2 linked regions of the Arabidopsis thaliana genome follow. The protein of the gene in region 1 interacts with the protein of each later gene in a biochemical or structural test. Each region holds a gene or a part of one and is shown on either strand. Other genes may lie near its edges.

The links.
Region 2: the proteins of AHG1 (region 1) and PYL13 form a complex in vitro, tested with the Arabidopsis thaliana proteins (one study listed by BioGRID).

What each region holds. Positions count from the first base shown.
Region 1 is NC_003076.8:21,024,915-21,029,833, forward strand, and holds AHG1 (Protein phosphatase 2C family protein), read left to right. Parts: upstream 1-1,960; 5' UTR 1,961-2,001; coding exon 2,002-2,466; intron 2,467-2,532; coding exon 2,533-2,877; intron 2,878-2,943; coding exon 2,944-3,049; intron 3,050-3,663; coding exon 3,664-3,998; 3' UTR 3,999-4,274; downstream 4,275-4,919. UniProt on the Arabidopsis thaliana protein: Negative regulator of abscisic acid (ABA) responses during seed germination.
Region 2 is NC_003075.7:10,252,506-10,255,659, forward strand, and holds PYL13 (PYR1-like 13), read left to right. Parts: upstream 1-1,853; coding exon 1,854-2,348; downstream 2,349-3,154.

The sequences.
Region 1 (4,919 bases):
TTGTTCGACTCAATTTTTCCTCACTTTCCTTTTTCATCAAAAATACCAATTTTCTTATTTTTCTTCGAAACATATATAGCCTAAAATCATTGACAATGTCATGAATATTTCCCTTGACTCCATGCCATGAAATGAAACCTATTTTCTTTGTTGTTCTCCGATTCTTTATAGTTTTCAGTCATATTTGGTGATCAAATTAACTGACTTTAGTGCCATAGAGTCTTCAGAAAAATTTATTGGTGTTTCCATGCATGCTTCTACACATTAGTTTCTTTTTGCAGGAGATTTGGACCCCACACAAAGTATTTTCACTACAAACACTATTCTTTCTCATTATTTTCCAACTTTTTCTGAATTGATCATAGGATTTTTGGTAAGCAACTTCCCTTCATATAGTAATTCTAACCACACGCAAAATTATTAAACCAAATTTCCGCAAGAAGATCATAAAAAACTGAATAAACAATTTAAACAAACATTGATGTACGAAGATAACATTTCTATCATATATGGTTTATATATAATAACCTACTAAAACAGCCAGGGATTGAAATTAAGCTCACTAGTTTTTATTTTCTTCACATAAAAAAAAAAACAAAATCACTATATCGGCAAGTTAAGTTTTCAATCATTAAAACCTAAAACTAACCACCCAACCCACCAATGATTAAAACTATATCCCAGTCCCAACTAATCACAAATTTAAGGTAAAGTGTGTTTGAATCATTTTTTAAGAATTTTAGACAAGCTTTTTCATTATTATCTTCCTTTTAGATAACTTACACATTTATATTAGCTTAATATTTTGTTTGTTTTAGTTTTTAGCTAAACCATATCATTCATGTAGAGAGAACCACCCTAACTGTTATGATCTATTCGACTCGTATTAATTCTCATCAATATAGCAAAATATTAGGATTGATCGATCCACATATTTCAGTTCACCCACTTTAATATATTTCAAAGACAGTTTGTAAACATTTATTACGGTTTTCGTAGATCTTGAGTATTTGAATAAATAATGATATGATTCTTTGTATCTTGTACAGTTGCTTATTTGAGTAGACATTAATTACAAATCAAATCTGTTAGCATAAAATATACATATATCGCCGTTTTTCTTCATTTGTAGGAAACCAAATAAAGAATAAAAGGCATATGGCACTGATGGACTAAACTGGCATAACTATGCTACGTGTTTAATTGGTACAAGTCGCTCAACCTGAGGAATCGAGAAGTTGTAGATGATCACTATGTGACATGTGTTGCACCGAAAAAGAGTGACTAGTGACGATTGACGATTCGTCAACCTTTTTCTCCGAAGATATCTCCAACGTTATGGTTAATCCCATGATTTGGTTTAAGTATACTTACCGTTCAGGTTTTATAGAAAATACTACTCGAGATTTGGAACGATCAGTAAATGTTATTCCAGATTTAATATAGTAGAAATTGTTTGTTTTCACTTTTCAAAAAGATGGTTTTCAAAATTTAATTCTTTTTAAAAATAAGAAAATTGATATAAACCTTTTCAATATTGTTACATTTATAGTCATTGTTTTGACATTAATGTTTTCATATTGAAAGCAAAAGGAAACAAGATGCAATATTTCGTATATCATGAGTTTTTCATTTTCTATAATATTTGATGAATTAGTCCAGAACCAGCCTGATCCTTGTAGTTCACATGGTTTGAGAGATCAGCTCCGGCTCATGGGTTCAAATTCAAGCAAGGAGAAGAAGAAAGGAGTTAAGACACAAGAGCCTAGCTAAACGACTATCGTCATGAACCCAAAACCGGATGCGGTTTAACAAAAACCGAAGGCGTCTCCACGTGGACAACAACTTAACACCTGAGCCTAACACGCGAATACATCGAAACACCGACACGTGTTCTGTCTTCCTCGTAAGCTTCTTTATGTTCAAAGTGTTCTCTCTTTCTCTCGGCCCCATGTATATAAAGCGGTGCTCTCTTGATCCACCGAAACGAATTTTGAAAAGATGACTGAAATCTACAGAACAATTTCAACCGGACGTGGAGACGACGTTTCTCCGACTAAATGCCGTGAACGTCGTCGTCGGAGAATTGAGATGCGGAGACAAGCGGCGGTTTTCGGCGAACCTAGTTCGTCTAGGAATCGTGATCGGACGGACATGGAAGTTTACTCAAGTTTTGACGTTCCATTGAGGAAACAAGCTCGGAGGTCAGAGATCGGTGGTCTTCCGGCGGATATCGGGGGCTTTTTGGCACCTCCGGCGGCATCTTCTTGCCAAAAATCGGAAGCGCCGGTGTGGAAGGGAGAAGAAACGGAGGATGAGCCGTTGTACGGTATAGTTTCGGTTATGGGAAGATCTCGTAAGATGGAGGATTCGGTTACTGTTAAACCGAATTTGTGCAAACCGGAAGTTAACCGGCAAAGACCGGTTCATTTCTTTGCGGTATACGATGGCCACGGCGGTTCTCAGGTAAGAAAATTAACCAGGGGTGGTTTGGTCATTTAATATAAAGATGCTGATGTGATGCGTGGACAGGTGTCAACATTGTGCAGCACGACTATGCACACGTTTGTCAAGGAGGAGCTAGAGCAAAACCTCGAAGAGGAGGAAGAAGGAAGCGAAAACGATGTCGTGGAGAGGAAATGGCGGGGCGTGATGAAACGGAGTTTCAAGAGGATGGATGAGATGGCAACGAGTACATGCGTGTGTGGGACTAGTGTGCCGTTGTGTAACTGTGATCCGAGGGAGGCTGCGATTTCGGGTTCAACGGCGGTCACTGCGGTTTTGACGCACGATCATATTATTGTAGCCAATACTGGTGACTCACGTGCGGTGTTGTGTCGAAATGGAATGGCTATTCCTCTGAGTAACGATCACAAGGTGGTGTTCTTGTAAAGGTTTGAGAATATTGGAGTTTCTATTTTGAAGTTGTTGAGTTTTTTGCAGCCGGATAGACCAGACGAGCGTGCGAGGATTGAAGCAGCTGGTGGTCGAGTTTTAGTAGTGGATGGAGCTAGAGTTGAAGGAATTCTAGCCACGTCCAGAGCCATAGGTATACCTTTCTCAATTCTCATATTGTAGTAAAAGATGATTTTAGTTGATAGTGTTGAAGATGGCAAGGAACTAGAGCCTATAAGGGCAATAATAATCATTTCGGATTTGGGGTTTAGGGTTTTAAGTTTACTAACTAAGGTACTATGGATTGGTTTCATTTGGTGCGAGTTCTTTTGTTGATTAATTCTAATTCTATTTTCAAAGATGTTTTATAATTGTTCCTTTAAAAAAAAAATATGTAAATTTTACTCTCTTTTTTTTGTCAAAATGTTAACTAGAAATTTTACATTGGTCCTAATAGTTTAACATTTGACAAAAAAAAAAAAAAACAAAAAAAATTATATTTGCAGCATTAACTAGAAAACAAAAATAATTGAATCATTTTACGAAAATAAAAAATGTGGGCATTCATACAAACCATCTCATGGATTAGAACGGGAGAAGTATTTTTCTTAACTTCAAAAGTATTTAAATGTGTCTTATCTTTGTATCTTTCATTGTTTGATCATTTAACCAACTTAAAATTTATTTCGGTTATACAATTTATTAGACTAAACATGAAGTTTTAGTATGGAAATTGTTCCTAATGTTGTGTTACAATTCATGGAGCAGGGGACAGGTATCTAAAACCAATGGTAGCATGGGAACCAGAAGTAACATTCATGAGAAGGGAATCTGGAGATGAATGCTTAGTATTAGCAAGCGATGGGCTTTGGGATGTACTCTCGAGTCAGCTAGCTTGTGACATAGCTAGGTTTTGTCTCCGCGAAGAAACTCCCTCGAGCCTTGATTTAAATAGAATGGCTCAAGAAGACGACAATGACGGAGAACAAAATCCTTCAAGGAGTGTATTGGCTGCAACGTTGCTAACGCGGTTGGCTTTGGGTAGACAAAGCAGTGATAATATAAGTGTGGTCGTCATTGATCTCAAGAATAGCTCTCAGTAAAACTAGTTTTGGATCCTTTTTTTGGTGGTTGTGCAATTAAGTGGTTAAACCAAAGAATAAGATGTTGATATAGCGATGAGCCTTAATTAGTTTTAGGGTTTAGCGCCCGTCTTTGTTTTGTTATGAATTGGGGTTACCAATACACATTAACACCGGCGAATGTGAAAGGAAAAGAGAGTTGTTTGGATATGGGCTACAAGGTTATTTAGTGGTTTGGCCATGGGCTATTAAGGGTATTTAGTGGTTTAAACAATAAAATAAAAGTTAACTTGAGAGAATTTGTTCTCTAATTTTGTTTGTTGTATGTGTGTGATCATTTTGAAGTTATTGATCGTTTAGCTATTTAGGTGGTATGTGTGAAATAAATAGATAAAATAAAAACGTAGTACTGCTTTGGTTTTGTTCGTTGTAGTTCATTAGACGCCGGTCTTGGTCTTTTATATTTTTTTGATGGACTGATCATTTCCAATGGTTAAAGTCATCTCTGTCTACAAATACTTACATTTTGGTACAACCTGAATGAAGTGAATTTAAGGCTGAGATTTTGAACCAGCCCTAACCCTACTCAACCGTGCAGTTTTATATTTGGTTCAACAATGCTATATAGGCTTTTGGGCCAATTACCAGATTGTCTTTACTCTTTAGGCTTTAAAGGAAAAAAAAAAGAGATGTGCAAAAGAATCAAAGAGAACAATTCAAGAAAGAGAGACAAAAAGACAACTCTTATAGTTCGATGGAAATGGAACAATTCGAACAGGTTTGACGAATACAGAGTTTTGGTCCTAAATAAAAGGGAGATCAAGAATCAAGAATTGTCTTTGAAGTAAAACAAAAAGCGTGAGATGGAGAATGTTCTCATGAATAATTCTTACATTACTTTTTGTTCTTTTCTTTTTGGGTCATTATCGTCTCAGTGTTTGT
Region 2 (3,154 bases), on another chromosome or scaffold:
CAATAAATAATTTTACTGATAGAGATAAAAAAAAATAAAAAATTTGACGTATTCTTTTCTGTTAGACCGGATAAATAGACATTCAATCAAAGGTTTTTTTTTTATTAACCTACAAGGTAGTGAACTCCATTTGTTAGAACAACTTCCATTACCTTCGAACTTTTTTTATTCTTAATAACACAGAAAGTTGTGATACGGTTGCAAAACAATTTATCAATGGTGCCGATAAGATTGTTCAGAGGGTGGCAATGGGCATTGGTTTCACTTGCTTACCATAAAGAAAGCAAGTTTGAGAAATACCAAAATTGCGATTCTGTTTTTGATTGTGACTTGTGAGCCCCAACAATATATGTATATATTTCAGCTTGAGCTCAATTCCCATATATGCTACAACTCTAAGACGCAATTTATGAAAATTTGGATTTTAAATAGTCATCATGTCCATGTTTCTCGAGATGGATATCTAAGAGAAGAATAATTTGAATTTTATAAGTTTATTAAGTCATATTTTTAATACTTAAATCCAAATATAATTTGTTCCATGTATTTTATTTTTATTCTTATAATACACTTATGGAAATCTATTCTATTTTACTTCATATCTTTACCCATTTTTAATTTGCAATTTACCTTTATAATCCACTTATAAATATATATAAAAAAATCTATTACATTTTATCTCATGTCTTTACAGATTACACATTGGAATTGAGTTTTTTTTTTCATCTAAAACTTTTGTTATTTATATAACCATGGAGGTGACACAATGCCGGCCGTTAAACATGATCTTAGTCTAGGAAGGCTAAACATAAAACCAAAGCCAAGAAAAGGACTAACAAACGGACTGGATAGTTTGAAACCCAAAACCAAAACAGAATGGATTTTGTGCTGTGTGGGGTGAAGCATAAATGTATAAATGGAAAATATCATCATTAAAGTTTGGGCTTATACGGGCCTTATTTCTAATAGGCAATAGACTGATGGAACATTGAATATGCCTACCCTGGATATGTAGAACTTGCATGGCTCTCGGATTGGATACGTAGAACATTACACTTATGAAGGAAAAAAGATTGGATTCTTTTTTTTTCTGGTCGGCAACCAATTAAGAGAAACACTGTTATGTTTGTAAACAAGTGTGTGTTTCGCTAAATTCCATTGTGTGCTTTTCCGGTTTAAATGACATCTGTATTTACCTCGTGGGCAATGACACATCTATCTATATTTAGCTCCAAAACATTGCTGCAGCAAATTTCCAAAATAGACCGACTAGATTTTAATATAATATTGGTAATTTTTATCAGTTGGTAAGATATTTAATTCTTCGTGAAAAGATACTCGTATATCTCTCTTTCTGTTTAAATGGTTGATATAGTCAAAAGAAAAACCTTCAAAGAGGGTTTGTTAAAACCATATTCCCTATCACTCTTGTCAGAATACCCTTCACAGATGGTTTTGTTAATCTTTTTGATAAAACCAAGTTCCAGAATATGCAAGCCTTTTATCAAAAAGCAAAAGAAAGTTTCTAAATATGCCAACAAGATTGTGTAATTTTTCACTATACAAGGCAGTCAATACTTGTGTACAAGTTTATATTGTAAAATGTTTTTTGGTTAGTATATAGTAAGAAGAATTCGAATCGAACTCTAAAGTTTAATATTACATGAAGAATTCGTAAATAAATTAAACAATATAAAACACTATAAAAATATTTTAGTCGGTGGCTTGCCTTCATTTATATGTACGTAGATTCGTTCGATATGCTTTAAAACAAGTGAATACGAAAATTCTAAAGTAAGACACGAAAATACACGTCGATAAAAGACAAACCCATTAGAAAAACAAAACAGAAAATGGAAAGTTCTAAGCAAAAACGATGTCGCTCTAGCGTAGTCGAGACCATTGAAGCACCATTACCACTAGTGTGGTCCATCCTACGTAGTTTCGACAAACCACAAGCTTATCAACGTTTCGTCAAAAGTTGCACCATGCGCTCTGGCGGCGGCGGCGGCAAAGGAGGAGAAGGAAAAGGCTCCGTCCGGGACGTGACGTTAGTCTCCGGCTTCCCGGCGGATTTCAGCACGGAGAGGCTCGAAGAGCTAGATGATGAGTCTCACGTGATGGTGGTAAGTATTATTGGCGGTAACCATAGGCTTGTTAATTACAAATCGAAAACGAAGGTGGTCGCGTCGCCGGAGGATATGGCAAAGAAGACGGTGGTGGTGGAGAGTTACGTGGTGGATGTGCCGGAAGGAACTAGCGAGGAAGATACAATATTTTTTGTTGATAACATTATTCGGTATAACCTTACTTCACTTGCTAAGCTCACAAAGAAAATGATGAAGTAAGCTCTATATGTTTAAGCTAATCAATAAACTAATCGTAGTTATAGTTATGAATCATTGGATTAAGAAAAAAATGGATCGTTATGGATTAGTTTTTAATCTTTAAGGCTTTTAGCATTGCAATAATAATAATAAAAATATAAAGAATCGGAATAATATGCTCGTGTGGTTTCTTTCTTCCGTGATTGTAATTGTCTCTTTTCTCCTACTCTTTTATGAAGAGAAATAAAATGAAGGTTATTTCTACATTTTTACAATTAGGAATCTTTGAAATAATGGTTTTAAATTGTTGACTCAGTTGGTTTAGTTACTAAATATACTGATTTGTATTGCTGACAACAAAAGTTAGACTAAATACATGTTTGAAAATTTTCTTGATAATTCTTTGTCCATTTTGCATAATGCATAGTAAAAGGGCATCATGTAAGATTCTTAATTTGAAGTTCTAAACTAATTAATATCAATACTTTAGTATAATATTATTAGGTTGGAAGGTATTTTACACTCAGAACAGAAAGTATGATGACCTAAACTGTAGATCTCGTGAATTTCATGGCCGTTTGACTCAAATCTGTTCGGAGGTTATGAATTTATGATGTCCGTTGAATCATTGAGCTGTTGAACTAATGGAGTGGTTTACTCTATAATACTTTGGTGTGTTTTTATCAAAAACCGACCGAATCAACAGATATAATTTATTTTGAACAAGTTGGTGAAAGACAAAATAGAGGTTCTATTGATCTAAATATAACGGTGAAGATTGGAAATTTTCATGTTTTTTCGGGAATTGGGCCTTTATGAATGGACTA